Drosophila melanogaster: one gene and its partners. The protein of the gene in region 3 interacts with the protein of the main gene of each other region in a pairwise test. Each region holds a gene or a part of one and is shown on either strand. Other genes may lie near its edges. The genes, in order: CG31792, IPIP and CG17292.

Region 1 (7,617 bases), about 11 Mb from region 3:
AGGGCCGTGCGTGTGTGTGTGCAAAAGCGCGCCGATTTAGATACACACACACAGGTATGTATGTTTACTTACATGGTCACTTCAGCCTTCAGAGCATTAGAGTGGACCACTCAAAGATAAGATAACGGCTTTCTAATTTATTTCCCATCCTATCGTAGCCCTTTTTACACTGTCCTATGCTATTGTATTTATTGTGTTGAAAATGTATTATATTTTAAATAAAAATATAGTATTACATATTATTTATACTAATGTAATTCATGTTTGCTAAATTAAAAAAAATTTAATTTTAGGCACCTTTTTGAAACATTAGGGTGGAGTTCGGACCGATATGTCATTAGTCATGTAATAAAGTGTAATTACTTTGTTTATTTATCTTTTTATGTATCGACTTCAATTTAGATATCACATTCTACTATCTAGAAATTTTATTAATATTATATTGACAACGGTTGCACCTTCCAGGTGTATCAGCAATACATTTTTACCTATTCTCTTGAAGTTTAGTGCAATAAATTATTTTCAATTTAAATGATTGGCTTTCTAAGCTTGCCCCACCACAAATGGAAATTCCATAGATATCTTATTCATCATATCACTAAATGAGGAAAACCTCATTAAGTCTACAAGTACTACTCTTGTCCTTATCGCGCCTGTCAGCTGTGATAACACGTACTCATGTACACATCTAATAAATATAATTTCTATAACGTATTCCAATATTGCAGCTATGATCAAAACAATAGGGTTTTTATATATATTTAATGTGCAAAAAATCAATTTCCGAACTGAAAGTGTGAAAGCTTCAATGGAGTAATATTGGGGAGATATTAATTATTCATTAGCGATTTCGGCTCGTCAAGAGGGAAGCATAAGGCTCGGTTTTTCAGATTTTTCGAATTCCTAAAAAAGGAAATTTTATAAATATATGTATGAATTCGTTTACAGATGCCTACTCTTACCCGTTGAGAAATCTTCAGGAGAGTGTCGTATGTTGCCTGACCCGTCTGCTTGACCAGGTCTTGGAAGGCATTAGTATCATCGGCAGTTAAAAGCTCATAGGGCGTCCCGAATTCCACAACTCTTCCAGCATCCATCACCAGTACACGGTCCGAGTCCATGATGGTGTGCAATCTATGGGCCACGGTAAGGACGGTGCACTCCCTGAACTTGTTTCGAATTGTGGCTTGGATCAGAGCGTCCGTCTGGGGATCCACATTGGCCGTCGCCTCGTCCATCACAAGTATTCTGTTGTCGCGCAGAATAGCTCGTGCCAGGCACACCAATTGGCGCTGGCCCACGCTAAAGTTGGAGCCACCCTCTGTGATTTTGGTCTCCAGGCCAGTGGCCACACTGGCCACCACATCCTTGAGTTCCACCTCCTCCAGCGCGCACCACAGCCTGTCATCGCTATACTCGTCGAAGGGATCCAAGTTGTGTCGCACTGTGCCGGAGAACAGAACTGGTTCCTGGGGTATGATTGAGATCTTGCTGCGCAGGTCATGTAGACCCATATCATTGGTATCCTTATCGTCTATGCGCACAGATCCATCGTTGTAGGACAGGCGGAATAGAGCGTTAATCAGCGAGGATTTGCCGGCTCCGGTTCGTCCCACGATGCCAACCTTTTCCTTGGGCTTTATTACAAAACTGAGGGACTTTAGAACGCTTTCCGATTTCAGATACGGCTCGTAACGCAGACTCAGCTCTACAAATTCTATTTTTCCTTGCTCTGGCCAAGATTCATGTGGTTTTTTGTCAGCCGTGGCTTCCAGTGGTCCCTCTGGCTCTATTTCCTCGTATTCAATCATCCGCTCCACGGAAATCATTGTGTTTTCCAACTCTGCCGACTGGCGGACAGTCCACTGAACCGTGCCCGTCAAGCCCATGGCCTTGAATAAATGGAAATTATATTAAAAATCAGACATATGTGAATGTGCTTCCGGTCGTATACCTGTGTTATAGCCAGGCCAACATCGGCTGCACTAGATGGTGGAAAGATGAAGAAGGACAGCGTGATCATCGCTATAAAGAGCACACAGAATATATCCATCCAATAGGCGAAGGCTCGCGAGGTGCTAATGAACATGTAGGAGGCGGAACTGTGCATATCTTGGTAGCCATCGAATTCCGCCTCCAGAATGCTTCCGGCCCCAAATGCACGAATGGTGGAAAGGCCATTAAGAGAAGCAGCGAAATGTGAGTAAACCGGAGATCGAGCTGTCAAAAGTTAAGAAAGTTTTAGCCAAGTGGTAATTAGTTGGTCATTAGGCACTTACTACTGGCCTCCAAGCGTTTTACATCCAGCGAAGTTTTGAGATAAAAGGAACGCAGGTAGTATATAACTATTCCAAAAGCCAGTGCTGGTATGAGAAAGAGGGGATTGACAATGGCTATGACAATAATATTGCCGCCAAACAGGAGAAAGTCTTGGATGACGGTCATTATTATGGTGGGCAGCATCTCATCCACTTGACCCATGTCCTTAGAGAACCGATTAAGGATACTTCCCGCAGGGTTCTTGTTGAAAAAGTACATGGAAGCTCTGGAGATCCCTCGAAACATTGAGTTATGCAACTGGATAGAGGCCCTCATTGCCAAGTTGAAGAACAGAAAGGATCGTTTTATGGTCACCATAATGGATAGCACTGTAATCAACATATATATGTACGCAGCGTGCATTTCGAAGTCCGCATCCTTAGCATCTGTTGTGTAGTTATGAGCTACCATTTTCTCATTTCTTGAGACCCTAAAAGCATAGGGATTACGAATTTTAAATGATTTCGAAAGTGACAAAGTAAACGACACCTTACCATGGGGACAGAAAGTAATCTCCAAGAGAGGCTAGGCCCTGGGAGCACACGAAAAAGGTCATTACCACAGAAAAGGAGAGGAATCCGCCTCCTGCCCTAAAATAATCGACGTACACTCCTAAGCCGTTGCGACCCAGTTGCTGCCGCTGTAGGTTAATCTTTTGTTCCTCCCCTACATCCTCTGGACAGGATTCCGCATGGGAGAGTACAGATTTCACACTGCTGCGCCGTTGGTCCGTGATACTGGAGGTTCTTGATCGGTCCTCCGCCGCCTCATTGTCATTGACAGGATCATCCAGCACGATGCCAAAGTCTAAACCCGATTTGTGAAGCGACTCATACGTTCCCACAGCCTTTACCTTGCCCATTTCCATGATCACAATCTGGTCGGCCTGCTGCAGGAACTGCAACTGATGGGTGACCAGGATGACAATCTTATCTCGCAGATGGCCACGCAAGCACTCTTCGAAGAGTCGACGGGCCACGCTGGAGTCTACGGCACTCAGAGGATCATCCAGCAGATAGATGGACGCATCCCGATAAACAGATCTTGCCAAGCTGATTCTCGCCTTTTGGCCACCCGAGAGCGATGCTCCGCGATCTCCCAATATGGTTTTATCCTTCAAGGGAAGTAGCTCAAAATCTCGTTCCAACGCGCATTTCCTCACCACTAAATCGTATCGCCGACGATCCATTGGCTGACCAAAAAGAATATTCTGACGCACGGTGCCGGAGAAAAGCCACGGCTCTTGCGAGGCATATGACATCGATCCAGTAACCTCGATCTCTCCCGACTCGACACGCAGTTCACCCAAAATGGCTTGTATCAGACTGGATTTTCCGGAGCCGGTGTGACCCACAATGGCGACCAATGCACCAGCGTGGACCTGCAGATTTACCCCACTTAGCGTGTAATCGGGCGAGTTCGTGGTCCACTTGGCTTTTAGTTCACTTATGGATACGCAATCTTCCGAATTGTGTGGAGGCTTCTCGGGAGCACGCATTGGTGTGGGAGTCACTAAGAGTTTTTCCCTGGCCTCCTGAAGATCTTCCTCAGCCCCGTTGGAAACTACATTTTCATCCTTCGCCACTACCTCGCCGGATAGCAAAAGCTTCTGAACCCGCTTAATGGACACGAGGGTTTCTGCAGTTTGCGTCACACCCACTGAAAAATATGCTGTCATGTTGGTGCGTACAACATTGTAATAGGCTGTGATGAGAAAGGCCACTTCCGCTGTAAGGAACCTGCCCATTAGCACAAATCCTACCAAACTCAGGAATATGGATACTGGAGTCAGGAATCTGTTGAAGGACCAAATGAGGCATTTCGCATAGGCCACGTGCCGGATGGAGTTGATCTCCTTGTGGCGGGCATGGGCCACCATTTTCTCAAACGGCAGCTCCCAAGCGTACATTTTAATCACCTGAATGCCAGCGATGATCTCGGTCATTATCCGCATCCGTTTGTCCGACCGGATAGCTGTCTTCAGTCGCAGCCCAGAGATCTTTTTGCCCAAATACATTTGAAGGGGTATGAAGAGCAGTATAAAGGTCATGCCAAACACGGCAGCGATTCCAATCTATTAAACAAACTAAGGTTTTTACATATCCCATATGAATTTCTCGGACCCCACCTCTTGGTACATCAAATAGGTTACCATTAGCGCTTGCAGTGGGGCCAACCAAAGATAGTGGGTAAACTGAATAAAGGTGTCCATTCTGCCAAGGTCATTGGAAATTAAATTGATTATATGTCCGGTAGATATTTCGCCCAGGTCTGTTTTGGTCAATCGAAGGCATTTCCGGTAGATCATGCTGCTCACACCCACTCGAATCTTAAGGCCTGCAGTTTACGGATTAGAAAACTAATTTACAAAACGCTTTGAGCAACATCAATAAGTAAGGAACACACCCAGGTGAGTCACGGCGAATGAGTACGGGTTCATAAGGATCACTTTGAGTGCAGAGCCTAAAATCACTCCGCCCGCGTAGGCATATGCCACTCCATTGGATGTTGGGCTAGGATTGGAAAAGCTGGATATAAGCTTCATGAGAAACATGGGCTGCACCGTGAGTATAACCTCCAGGCAGAAGAGAACCAATCCGAGGAAGACGAAGTACCGACCAAAAACACGAAAGAGTACTCTGAGCAAACTGGCGTTCTTCTTGTTGGTCTCCAGTTCATTCGCCCAGGAAGAGCATAATTTGTTGCCGAGCGACTCTTTGCACAAAATAGAGATATGAGGATGTATATATGAAAATATTATTATATATACACCAAAAACACTTACCGGCCCTATGCTCTTTCAAGGCCCTGTAAAGGTCCTTTGCACCCAATGTGACCTTTTGCCCCTTAATAAAAGTGGGAATGGTATACCTGAATTATTTGAAAAAATTGTTCACACTTGAAAAATATGTTGGCGTCGCACGTTTGCACTATCTTACCAAAAGGATAACGCAGAAAAAATATTCGATCGTTCTCGAGGATTCTCCGGGAGATCTTCATTCTTAAAGGACTGCATTTTATTACGATTACTACGTTATGTTTCGCTACATAACAAATATTATGCAAGTGAAACAATCCAGACAGCAAGAAATAAATTTGAATTAATGATTTTCTAATCAATAAGTAATTAGCCATTAAACAGCTTGTCTAAAATGGGACAGAATACGATTGTCGAGCTACCCGACTATCAGATACCTGCTACTCAGGTAAAATTTATTCCACACGCCTTCAACGTCACTGGCACTTTAAAATCTTGAACTTCTACTATAATATAATGACCAGCATTTTTGGTCTTCTGCAAAGAAGTCGTTACCAAGAATCTAAAGCTTTTTGTAATTTGTTGACGTAGGTTTCCGAGATCTCGACGCTTATATGGACAGACATAGTCGGATCGAATGATCAAAAATATTTATACCTTCTAGGCTTGAAGTCACTTGCACTTTTCAACGTATAACATGCTTTCCAACGAACTAATTTATTAAATTGCAATGCCAGAAATTCAACTAAACAGCAATACGTCCGCGCGTAGAAAAGATCTTAAAGGTACTGAGTGTGAGCAACATGATTAGCTCTCGGTGCTAAATTCGCCGGAGATAACCCAGATTAGATTTCGGTTATATTTTTTGAAGATAATGGCTTTATGTTGAATACCAGTCTGGTTCAAAAAAACCTTAAATGATATGCTAAAGATAAAAAGATATAAAAGTATGTACTTACTATTTGTACTTTGTTTTATTGAATCATTTTGTCTAGACTTCAACTTAAACCTTAATAACATAAAACACCGGCATGTGCAGAATTTAAGAAGTCGCCCAAATACAATAAATAATAATAATTTTTATTAAGACACTGAGAGAAAAATTAAGTTTCGATATTAAATTAGGAACGAACGATAAAAAAAAAAAAAACTTAAAAGCAAACACATAAGTTCAAGAACGAGTAACCGAAATTATAAACTTGAGAACGAACGTTCACATATAAACAAAAGTCTCACTTCAATCCTCAAGTATCGTTAAGATATATGACTTGTAGTTAAGGCACATTGTTTATATGTTATTAGCCAGAAAATTGGGCAATACAGCTTTACATATATAATTGTACACTTTCCTCGTAGAATATAAGGGTTAAAAACTATGAAACAAGAAAGTGTTTTTGACCCTACAAATGTGTATTTATTCAATTAAATCTGGGTATCTGATAGGAATTGAGTTCTTTCTTGTTAGTTCAAATTACATTATTTTTTTTATCAATGGAACTATAGTCAATCCATAATCAAATGGAAAGTTTGTCGAACCTGTAAAATCTGGAAATTGAGATTATTCATGCAGTTTTTGGTGGCGCCTTTTATTTTTATACCCTTGCAAATGGTACATTGATTTCATTCAGATTCGTATATTCAACAGTAGAGTCGATACAGTCATGTTTGTCTTCGTTCAATTTCAGTTAGTATACATATAGGTTGGACCACTATATCATATTGCTGTTATAGGGATAATCGAAAAATAATGGTAAGTATTAATATATGTATGAGATATACAACAGTTTTTGACCATATTTTAATTTGATGAAAATCAAAAGAAAATATATCATATAACTGCCGTACAGCCAAGGCAAACCAAATTTTAATTAAAGTATTTAATTATCGTTATAATTGTGTTCAATTATCCGCCGGCTAGATCGGAAACAGGAAGTTACTGTTGATGTATATTCGTTTAAGGAAATACGGTAAGAACGTTGGCAGCATGGGTTAATTTTTCAGCTTTTGCAAAAGCTCCAAAGTAAATGCAGGCTTGTGGTAACTATCATCGCATGTGAACAGCGTTGTACACACACACACTTGCACATTTACACCTGGGTATTGAAGTTATCAGCTAAAAGAGAACTGACTTCCTCCGATTGTACATATATATATATATATATATATATATGTATACAAACATATATATGTGTGTAGAGCAGATAACCACTGCATGCGGAGAAGAGCTTGGCAGGTGTTAGTGAGTTCAGGTGAAATTGATTATGCGAATGGGGGTAAAAAAAATATGGCCAAACAGTGAGGGAGCCAGTTAAAAAACGGTGGTCGATCCAGCCGGTCCGACATTTCAGTTGAGAAGCCAGAAAGAATAGAAAACCGAGAGCCATGAGAGAATACAGCCTGTGTATGATTGTGATAGCAGCTTTCATTGCCAGCCAGCTGGACAGCACCTCAGCCCTCCGTAGGTTACCACATTTTGGATGAGTTTTTTCAAATGACTTACTTCAAATTATTATTGCCATTGCAGAGTGCTATTCGTGCAC
Region 2 (5,054 bases), 2.3 Mb from region 3:
AAACACAGAGACATTTCACGGCTTCAACGAATCAAATAAGTTTGCTGACTTCTTGCAGTCTTTTAACCATTTCGGGTTGTGTTCTTTTACTCAAATATATTTATCTAGCGGGTGAACTTACAGTTCTGTGTGCGGCTTAATTACTTTTCACAGCTAAATTACAAACAACAACGCTAGGTTACAGAGCTGGAACATGTATCGATGGCTGCTCGCGATTATCGATGTTTCCACAAAGCAACCAACGTCGATGTTTTTGTTTTCTTAGCAGTTATCGATTATTTTCGCCGTTCACACTGGGTTTTGTGTCTATCGAATTTTTAAAAAATATTATGTTCTAAATAACAATTAATATGTGGTCTATTCATTTGGACAAAAAAAGTTTTGTTCTTTCATATGTAGAACTTTGTCATCCAAAAATTAGGTTTCTTTAAGTTATCCATTTGAGTAATCCCAACATTATGTTTAACTTTAAAACCAACTTAGTCCTTCAATTCTAACAAATAACCTAAAAAACCCAATTATTAGTATGCCCACATAACTGAGTGCGCCATGATCGCCGAAATTTGTTATATCTAAAGTTTTGTTTATTGAAACAAACATGTATGGAAATTAAGCATAGTTCATTTGAAACGTATTTGATTTAGCACAAAACGGGTAATACATTGGCTTTTTGTCGGAGCAGCCCACTCCTACATCACAACTGGATGAGCGGCTGACCCTGGCGCTCGCGGTAAGCGGACACATCCGGCATCAGTTCCCTGCGAAAGCGCTCGTGGTTGCGTGCGAACTCCTCCAGTGCTTTGACCTGGCGACGCTGGCGCTCAGCACCGTTGACGGTGCTGTGATTATTGTTGGCCGCTCCCGGATCCCGGACATCGGGATAGAAGACGCTGTTCGCGATGGCAGGAGCGGGCGTGGGACGGCGCTGGGCCCTGGGCGTTCCGCTGGGGCTTCCGTTTCCGTTTGCGTCTGCAAGTAGAAAGTGCCTGTAGCCTGGCTTTGGGAATATGCAACAGATTTTGCAGAGAATGTCGCTTAGTGGCATTCCGCTGACTAAATTAGATCGGCTCTGGGTAAATGGCAACGATAAGCTGGCAATCGAAGTTCGGATTATACTGAGAGCACTCTGCTCTTATCTCTAGCTTCTACTAACGGTAGACTCACATTGTATTGGGACAAACAAACAGCTGGCTTTGGGGCCGAAAAATGCCGTATGATTGTATTTAGGCAAAGTTGTAGTTCTGCGGTTATCTATTGGCCAAGTTTCCCACTTAAAATTAGCTTTTAAAACTCAAAGCCCCGAACATGGTGATTCATTTCGTCTTTCAATTTGGTCACTTCCGTTCAGTTAATTTTTGCATTACTATACCCACAGCATTGTACATCCATTTTAAGAGTACGTGTTCATACCTTGCTTGCTCATTAGCTTCTCCTGCTGCAGGCGCGCGTTGCTCGATCCGAAGTATCCGTTGATAAATGGCAGGGGCGACATGACTACTCCGCCCCTCAGCGAACTGTCTGGTGGAGGAGGAGCGGGTCTGTTGAATGGATTTGTCCGCCTGGGCGGCGGTCTAGGCTTCGCACTCTCCGATGCATTTTGTGGTCCGTCCAAGGCGCTGCCGAGCATCTCTGTAGGTTAAAGAACGCAGCGGATTAGTGCACAGGGATTGTAGGATTAGCCATTGTGCAGTCTCACTGTTTCTTGCGTCCTCCATCTCTTGCAACTGGCGTTTTAGCTCGGCCAGGATGATGCGCTTATACTCGTAGCCGGCGCATGTTAGCGCCTTCATCCACGTCTCCATGCTGTCTTGGTTTTCGGCGGCGAGGATGTAGGTGCGATTGCCGTTGAAGGCGATCTCGAAGCAGTAGTTGTCCACCTCGTTAGACAGCTCAATGGTGCAGCCCTCGACAATGATGAGGCCCAAGGGCTCCTTGTCCAAGCGCGACTCGAAGTAGAAGAGCAGGTTGCCTTTCAGCACGAAGTAGCGTCGCTGGAAGGCCTTGTTGACCTCGCCCCGTTTGTTGAGGAAGCCTGCAAGGCGTATCGGTGTGTGATAAATGGATTATGATTATTAATAGACGAGCGAAAGGGCTCGCTTGCATACCTTCCATGTCGAAGGGCGGCGTTCTCGCGAACACGTACAGGTTCTTCTCGTTGATCTTCATGGCTGCACTGTCTCGGGCTGCATTCGAAGCAAATATGGGTGTCCTATTTCCGCCTTTCGTCTCTTATTATTGTGATGAACAGGTAAAAAAAATGCAAAGCGAGAAACAATTGACGCTGCGCGAACAGCTGATGGCCAGTGCTGCCACACCTCCACCGGTTATCGATTGCTGGGTGCGGAATTTCTAGTTTTCAATGTAGATTGCAAACATAAACGAATTTTGAATCCTGCGAAATGTCGTACTTACTCACGGAAATCGCGCTGGAGATGCTGGGCTACAAGTTCTACGACACCAATGGCACATTCCACCTGACCAATTTTCAAAACAACTCCACGCTCAGCGAAACGCATCCCGATGAGCCCTCCCTGCAGGAATTCATTGAGTACACAAATGAGGAGCTGAAGCAAGACGCGCAACAGCAGGAGCCGCACACGCTGGCGGTGCAGGAGGAGTCGTACCTGGATGCCCCCACCATACCCGAGTCACGCTATGCGCGGCGCACGCCGGCCAAGGCGCTGGCCAAGATAATGGACTACGAGAGCGAGAAGATAGTCAACCAGATCAGCACTCGTCTGGAGGGCTCGGTGTCACGTCGGGCGGCGGCGGACAGTGACGAGCAGCTGGCCGAGATCATCAACGAGGAGAGGAAACTAATCGAGGCGGATGCCGAGGTAATACACAACTTTCGGGAGCTCGTGGAGAGCCGACTACAGCGATTGGATAAACGGCCCTACGAGAAATACGTACGTACCTTCGGGCCGCAATAGGAAGCTGCACGTGCAATGTCAAAGTGCCGCCATTACTTTTAGAATTAATTTAGTTTATAAATTTAATAAATAAGTTACCGCTACAGGGTGCCTGCGGCACTTTCATTTTCTCTTACTGCGCCAGTGTGACCACCCTAGCCCATGCACTGGCCAGCGATAGCCCCATCTATCGGAGCCACTGTCATCTCTAGCAGCACAGCACGAGTAAAGGTCAGCTCTCGTAACTTGTCTCGGAAATATTCAATAATTCCGAGATTGCCGTCAAAATTCGAGTCGTGTACTTCAGCTAACGCTCCCCCTGTTTAATTCCGTTCCGTCTGCCCCCGCAGGCTCAGCTCAGCCCGCATCTCGGCTGCCAATTAAGGATATAAAGCCCTCCCCGGACGGTGACGACAACGGCGCTTGCATAATGAAAATCTGGACATCGGAGCACATATTCAACCACCCGTGGGAGACGGTCACGCAGGCGGCGTGGCGCAAGTACCCCAATCCGATGACGCCCTCCATCATTGGCACGGACGTGGTCGAGCGCCGTGTGGTGGACGGCGTCCTGCACACGCATCGCCTGGTGCAGTCCAAGTGGTACTTCCCCAAGTGGACGCACGCGCTGATCGGCACGGCCAAAACTTGTTTCGCCAGCGAACGCTCCACGGTGGACCCGGAGCGCAAACAGATGGTGCTGAAGACAAACAACCTCACCTTCTGCCGCAACATCAGCGTGGACGAGGTGCTCTACTATGAGCCGCATCCGTCGGATGCCAGCAAGACGCTGCTCAAGCAGGAGGCCACCGTGACCGTCTTTGGTGTGCCGCTGTCCCACTACATGGAGGACCTGCTCACCTCGACCATTAGCACAAATGCCGGCAAGGGACGCCAGGGCCTGGAGTGGGTGATCGGGCTGATCAACACGGAGGTCAAGGGCATCGCTCGCGGCACCGACGAACTTCTGCACAACACACGGCGCTCCATCGACGAGGTGACGGAGAGCGCGCGGAAGAGCATGGACGAGATCAGTGCGCAGGCCGCCAAGGCGGCGAAGGCGATGCACATTACGTAGGTGTCGACAAGGCGACAGTGCAAGGTCGCGCGGGGGCTGTTCACTAGTGAATTATTTAGATGGCGCGCGGTCGTCGTTTTAGTACAACTAATTAATCGATGGCACGATGGACATGGACAGCAACATGTGGGACAGCAACACCTTCCTCTATTCTCAAGCCATTCAATGCATATATTTTATAATTATTACTCCCCTTCGAACGAATCGACTGCTAATGAGTCATGTCGATAAAGAAGTGCCCCCGAATGGCTGAACTGGAAGGAACTCGCGCTAATGCTGGCCCCCATTCATGCAGATCAATATATATATAAACCTAAAGTACATAGTCAATGTAAGCTTTGTAAGCCGCCGCAGATTTCGAAGAACGAGAGGAGCAATTAAACGACATATTTGCCTACGACCAGCCAGTGTCAAGTTCAATTGTTTAATTTTAATTCGCAGCACACTTGTACTGCGTCTTTTTTTTTTGCATTTGCATGACGTTCGCATGTGCAACTGCAGCAATTTTAAGCATTCTGTGTATAAATAAAACCCAAGAAAGTCGATTTGTGGGTTTTTTCTCTACATACATACTTGATTAGCGATTTTTGGCGTCTGTTTTATTCGCTTATCATCAAAAGCCCACGTGCCTAGTGGCTCAACAACTGTGTACCTAGTTAGCATCGCAGACATGGAAACTGATATGTCCCTTATCTGGTTCAACAGTTGCGAAGAATGTGATTGAAGGGGAAAGTGGGTGCTTGGAAACAAGTTGATGATCAAACAGCAGGTGTTCTAGGGACAAGGTGAAATACTTTTACCTAACTTATCAAAAGAAGTAACTTATTTATTTAGCAGTTTTCGTAAGCTTTTAATCAAAATAAACAAGTAATCCTTACGAATTACAATTAAACTATTTGGTTCATTGAACCCGTGTAGCATTAACCCTTGCAAGTTACGCAATGGGTACAATTTACGAAAGCTTTTAAAGCTCAATTCGCCTAAGGGTTAATTTGAATTCCAGCGGCAGTCGCTGTGCAGCACTGGCCAACCGAACGCTGTGGTGGATTGAGCCGCGAAATGAG
Region 3 (6,004 bases):
GTTGGCGTGCGTAAAGTGGATTAAATCCACTCCATACTTCTTCGAGTTCACCGTGCGCGACTGCGTCCCCTTTTCGCAGTCGTAGATCACGATCTGGTCATCCTCGCTGCAGGATATTAGATGTTCGCCGTTGGGCGCAAAATCGATGGCGTTGATCTTGTCCGTGTTCTCTCGGAAGATCTTGGCCACCTTAAAACTGCGCACCACCGAATCTATTAGTTTTATCTTCATTTTAGCCTGTCGAATTTCGTTTTGTTGTCAATATGCTCAATTGTTGCAAACAATGTTATCGGTGGCAGAGGTTGACGGGTCGATAGCTGTGTTATCGATATCGCAACTTTCGAACTGGTTCCGGAATGAATTGCAAGAGCGGAACCAGCAACCAGATTTAAATTATTTGAAAGTTCAAAAAATCCATTCAAAAAAAGTAATTAATAAAACTCATTTAAAACCCCAAATAGTGCAATAATAATGTATAAATACCCCAAAGTAATGCAAAGTTTTTTTCAACAACAAAATTTAAGTATATTTTTCTCGTAAATCAAAATGTGGTGTAAGGCGTCATAGAAACAACAATATTAATATAGCTACATTTCATAATGTACACAGTGCAATTGTAGATGGTCTTATTAATTCGTTTTCTCCGACGGGCAGTCACAGGTGATGCTGTGGGTATTTCCCAGCAGATCCTTGGGGTCAACGTAGACAGTGCCCTCCTTGCCTCGAGCAAAAGGTGTATGTCCGTTGGTTTGTAAGTAAAAGTCGCCATGAATTCTGAAAATCACAATTTCAAATGATGAAACTAAATTCTGCGCTATGCATATAAGGCAAGTAGAAACTTACGTCGTGGGACAATGATGACCCATCACCACGGGCGGGCAATTCTCTACTATTTTGTTCTGCTTGAAGTCCGACCATTTCTTGGCGGGCACAGCATCGAATCCAATGGGATATCGATCCGAAACGCTCTCGGCCCAGAACCACCAGCTCCTCCGATGACTGGACAGATCGTTGTCGCTGAGCATCTTGTAGTTTCGCTTGGGACAGCCAGGCTGCAGGCTGTATCCACCATTTGGCCAGAAATCCGCCGTGCCCGTGCTCGTCGGAGCTCCGTACAGCCAGGCGTCCGTGTGTATCACGTCGACGAACTCCGCATCATTGGCAGACAGGTGCGTGCCCGGATAGAAGAGCGGAAATGCGGGATCCAAAGCGGAAATTCTATAAAAGAAGATTGGAGATAAGTGAGACAAGAAAAGGATTCAATATAAACTTTATAAACTTTGCCGAACAACGATTCTAAAAAAAAACTTTTTGTATTACCATATGGTAATACAAAAGTGTTAAGCTTTGGACATTAAAATTATTAACTAAATATCGTATATTAAACATCGTATATCATGACGTCGGCATAGACTAAAATCGAACCGAGCATGAATAAATAATTTGAAATCAAACCTCTTTCATTTTACCTTTTTATCTTTCTGACACCCTTGGTGCGTTTAGTAATCTCTCGGCCGAGGAGTCCGGCCAGCTGGCCGCCCATCGAGTGTCCGACAATGTGGAACTTCTCAATGTCCAGGCCATGGTCGAACATTTTGAGCAGGACCTTGGCCAACTCTGGGCCCAGCTGTTTGAGGTTCGGGAAGGCATCGAACATGTAATTGCCATCGGCCAGTTCACCCCAGTCTAGGACGATAAGATTGGTATCCTTTCGCTCCAGATAGGCCTCGGCTATGACGTGAATGCTCTCCACATCCGGATCTTCCAAGTAGCCGTGCAAATAGAGCACGGTGTTCTTGCCCAAATCCAAGTGCTCGTCCTCCAGAAGACTCTGGAAATCGGTTAGGTCATAGATATCGCTATCTGCCACCGTGGGTCTGTGAATAAAAGATAATGCTATAGGTGAATACTTGAATATATTTAAGAAATTTGGATATTAGTGCAATAACATGGCTTTATGTATAATTTTTCTTCATATTTACTAATAATAATATTAGTTCTTACCCATAATATAGTATAAACTTGGCTGTCGTTAGATCCGCCTTGGAGTTCTTGAGTCCGCAGAGGAGCCCTGGTTTAATAATTATCCAAATTGTATTAGCGGAATTTTCCATTTTCGCACACTTACTTACTGGATTTGTTTTTAATGGCCTTGTGCATGTTTCTGTGGGCTGTCGGCTATTAGTCCATAAAGTGATTGATTACGTGGCCAGTGGATTGTCCGGATATCCTCTGGTCCCATGCGGTGATTGGCAAAGACTGGGCCGGGCACTCGGTTGGCCGGATTAATGTGGCGTGGCCTAAACCCCCATTGAAATTGATAACTCTAATTAAATTTCAATCTTTTTCGGATAAGATAGTAATGGTGAGTTCGGCCAAAAAAAGCCTTGCGACATCGTAAGCATCGTGATTCACACGAGTGTGCCGCCCCAACGGCGGCAAAGTCCGTGTGGGAGTCCAAGCCTTTGCCTGTCCATGCATCATTCATGTGCTCCTACGGTGGAACATCCGATTTCGGAACATTCCAAATCTCCGCATTATTATTCATCCACTTCTATCGGCTGAACAAGTTTAATCGAACGCTAATCCCATTATGCACTTGAGGACTAATTCAATGGTGATTGAATGAATGCCATAAAAATAAAAGCTTTGTCGCCAGCCAGTCTACTTATTTCCAAATCACCACGATCAATTAAAATTGCAACATAATGAGTTTCCTCAACAGGAGTGAGCTGAATAATTACAAAGTTTTCCCGTTGAAAGTTACAAACTTAAAGATCGCCGTAACTATTATTGATCCATTAATATGATGGGTTTAATTATATATAGACTAATACAGCATGTTTATTTAAGTACAGTTTTACTAGCTATTTAAGTGCATTTTATTATCACTAAAATTAACTTTTAAAAAGTAATAGTCTTTTTATGGGCGGACCCTGTAACTTTGACCTTAGTAATATGGCTATCATAAAAAAAGTGAAATGTTTGACAGTTCAACCAGCTACAGGGCCCACTGTCTATTGCCAGAGATTACCTTAACCCGAGGTCTAAGTGAACAAACTACAGTGCTTAAATATGCAGACTTGAAATTACAGCAATGCCATTCAAACACACTTGTAAGCTACAGTCCAACGTCCCTAAGTGGGAACAAAAGTTAAAGTTTAGCTTGGAATATATTTGTTTTCGGACTGAATTAAATTAGAAAGTGGTGTTTCAGTTTAAGCATACATTGTTAAAGTACAAAGTACAATGCAGAACACAAGCAAATACAAATACTTTTTAAAATAAAATATATAAATACTTCAATGAGATTATGAAATCTCAAAACTTTCTTGTATAAACTAATAAATTAATATTGCAACTATTATTCTTGTCAACCTCCTAATCATAACATATCTAACTGAGGGAAGTTGGACTGTAGAAATGCTTATAAATGTGTACATAGATATATGTCGAAATGGAAGACCCCTGACCCTCGTTGCCTGCCCAACGCAATGGTAATTTAAGTACCGGCCTTCTTTTTTTGCCTCGATTTCGCCGTTGTATCGCGGACATAAATAAAGAGCACTTCAATTTATATTCCGGCTTATCGGGGGAAAATTAGCCGTCAGATAATGCTCAGTCGCACGATGGAGTATCACTGGTTTCGAGGGTAAGGAGGGAATCGAATCGGCGCCAAGTGTTTAGCGGAAGGTAAAAATAATAACGCTTAGCGAAACGCGCCACTTGGGGAAATCGGGCTAAATAATGAAGCACTAATTGTAATAACAGCTCAGCGTTTTTGACATATGCGAGTAATTAATGCATAGAGCCCATAGACTATAAATATTCGGACACTTGTTGCGTCCACGGGGGCAGGTGGATCGTAGGTCAGTGGACGGTAAACGGACGCGGAGATTGCGACAGCCGTGGGTAAACTGATAATGTTCCGCATTTGGCTGTGTTTGGTTGGGCACACACAAACACCTCGTTTTATTGTATACACACAATTGATTGGTTCCACCCATTTGCCCAATCAAATTTGCATCTGATCCCCCCATTGACTCCACCACATTCCACGCCGCATCCGATTCGATGGCGCTCGAGCGTCAGACGGAATAATTCAATGGCACTTACGCGTCCACACTCGGTTTCGGAATTCGATTCGAGAGTTAGGCAAACATTGGCCAACGCGCAGCGGAACGGCAAAACAAACAAGCGTATCGCTTCGTCGCAAAAGTCCAACTGATCTCTCGCTAGAAACTGCTCGCCACCACCACCACCACCACCACCATCATCCAATTAAAAAACCAAAAAGAAGCCCCAACTATCGCCAGGTGTCTGTTTGGCGCCTATCGATATCAGTCTAGCTTGCTATCAAAATCGTTTACTGCTGGAATGATTTTAGGATTTCAAAATAAATTAACAGTATTTTTAAAATGTAAAAATACAAGTATTTTGTTTGTATAATCTATGCTTTTCATAGCCATACCTCTCACAAATTATAAATAATCAATGCACCTGCCAAATAATCAGAATGTATATAAAGCTTAATTTGAACGAAACTATAAAAAGGAAAATATTACATTTCCAAACTTTGAACTGACAACTGAAACCTAGAAATTGGTATACAATTTTGGGAGTTAAATATTCAATTTTGCTCCACATTAAACTTTTCAATAGATCGTGTGATATTGTTTCACTACAATTTTATTTTTGCATTCAGATGCGATCAAATGTTCCAAACTCTACAAATGTTTTTAATAATGATCGTTATGCCTATGGTAATTTATATATAATATAAGTATGTAAGTAGTAATGTTTAGTTGTGTGTCGCGTTTAGTGGGTCTCCTCCCATGCTGATTCTCCGATTCTCTCCTTCCTCTGACTCCTGGCTCCATTCATCCCTCATCCAGCATCGGCTGCAGCGTTTAACACCTTCCGGGATCCACTACAATTTTCCGTTCTTAAGTGTTGTTGCTACATAATATGTTTTGTTGCCGGCGTTAAATACATACAGTTTTAAAAATAGAATAAAAAAAGATGCAAGAAGGTTGATTACGCTATAAACAAATATACAAAACACATTATTGCAGACGAACACAGAGTGGGGAATGGTGAGATAACCACGTGGTGATGGCGATGATACCGGGAAAGAGACAAAAAAATATGGCACAACATTAGTATCGGTTAAATATTTGATCCACTGCACTCGCACTTTAATCAGATCGGACATCTAGCCTGGTTATCTTGAACAAACAAACAATCAAATGTGAATACGATTATGACGGGGAGGATTAAACACATTGGCTTGTGGAACTGGCTGGAGACAGCGGGAGGCACATCACACGTCATGTGGTTGGCTACTCATCCTCTAACATTCCGAGTCAAGCGTGGGCGGCTCCGCTGCCTTGCCATTCATCTCCTGCAAAATGTCATTGTCAGCTGCCTCCGGCTGTCGGGGCGGTTCCACTATCAGCTTTGAGTCCATTGCCGCCTCAATTTTGGCGCCCATGCACGGCGGTATTGCCGTTCTAAACACATTCAGTTCCATTTCTATGGCAGGATTTTAATTAAAATTAAAGTCTTACTACTAACTGACAATTTATGAATTTGTGTAACTCTCAGATTCCCTGCATGCCTTAAAACTTGTGATAATGAATAATGTTATATATTGTTCTATAAGTTAGACCCTTTCTATCCCTGTCAAACGCTAACCTTGTTTATATTAGACTGTTTATTGCTTACCTGCAGCTATGCCGGCAATGGCCTGTGCAGCAAAATGCTTGACATCCACATCTGTGTCTGTGTTCAGTTTGTCGAGTGTGGGCTTTACTTGGGCATCAATGACGCTGGCCTCCAGGAAGGGCGAGATCTTCTGCAGGGTCTTTGCCACGTTGAAACGAACATTGGCAACGGGATCAGCGGCAAGCAGGAGAACTGTGGGCAGCAGCAACTTGGTGGTGATATCTGTGCCGCAGACCTCTGCCAAAACATTCAGGCAGAACAAGCAAGTCATTCCTAA

What was found.
Region 1: the proteins of CG17292 (region 3) and CG31792 interact in a two-hybrid assay, tested with the Drosophila melanogaster proteins (one large-scale study listed by BioGRID).
Region 2: the proteins of CG17292 (region 3) and IPIP interact in a two-hybrid assay, tested with the Drosophila melanogaster proteins (one large-scale study listed by BioGRID).

What each region holds. Positions count from the first base shown.
Region 1 is NT_033779.5:18,995,697-19,003,313, reverse strand, and holds CG31792 (uncharacterized protein), read right to left. Parts: upstream 5,867-7,617; 5' UTR 5,735-5,866; intron 5,364-5,734; 5' UTR 5,336-5,363; coding exon 5,259-5,335; intron 5,191-5,258; coding exon 5,105-5,190; intron 5,035-5,104; coding exon 4,726-5,034; intron 4,657-4,725; coding exon 4,448-4,656; intron 4,394-4,447; coding exon 2,814-4,393; intron 2,750-2,813; coding exon 2,280-2,749; intron 2,221-2,279; coding exon 1,955-2,220; intron 1,893-1,954; coding exon 963-1,892; intron 904-962; coding exon 859-903; 3' UTR 601-858; downstream 1-600. Other genes in the region: CG10650 (uncharacterized protein), read left to right, coding at 7,460-7,535, 7,602-7,617.
Region 2 is NT_033779.5:6,045,989-6,051,042, reverse strand, and holds IPIP (inositol phosphatase interacting protein), read right to left. Parts: upstream 3,042-5,054; 5' UTR 2,934-3,041; coding exon of another isoform or gene 2,400-2,933; exon of another isoform or gene 2,350-2,399; 5' UTR 2,167-2,349; coding exon 2,106-2,166; intron 2,033-2,105; coding exon 1,697-2,032; intron 1,630-1,696; coding exon 1,411-1,629; intron 970-1,410; coding exon 695-969; 3' UTR 605-694; downstream 1-604. Other genes in the region: CG34179 (uncharacterized protein), read left to right, coding at 2,400-2,909, 3,263-3,304; slmo (slowmo), read left to right, coding at 3,343-3,990.
Region 3 is NT_033779.5:8,368,754-8,374,757, reverse strand, and holds CG17292 (uncharacterized protein), read right to left. Parts: upstream 4,305-6,004; 5' UTR 4,117-4,304; exon of another isoform or gene 3,511-4,116; intron 2,301-3,510; 5' UTR 2,161-2,300; coding exon 2,133-2,160; intron 2,072-2,132; coding exon 2,005-2,071; intron 1,878-2,004; coding exon 1,470-1,877; intron 1,219-1,469; coding exon 844-1,218; intron 775-843; coding exon 630-774; 3' UTR 508-629; downstream 1-507. Other genes in the region: Wdr82 (WD repeat domain 82), read right to left, coding at 1-231; Pp2A-29B (protein phosphatase 2A at 29B), read right to left, coding at 5,038-5,042, 5,359-5,535, 5,728-6,000.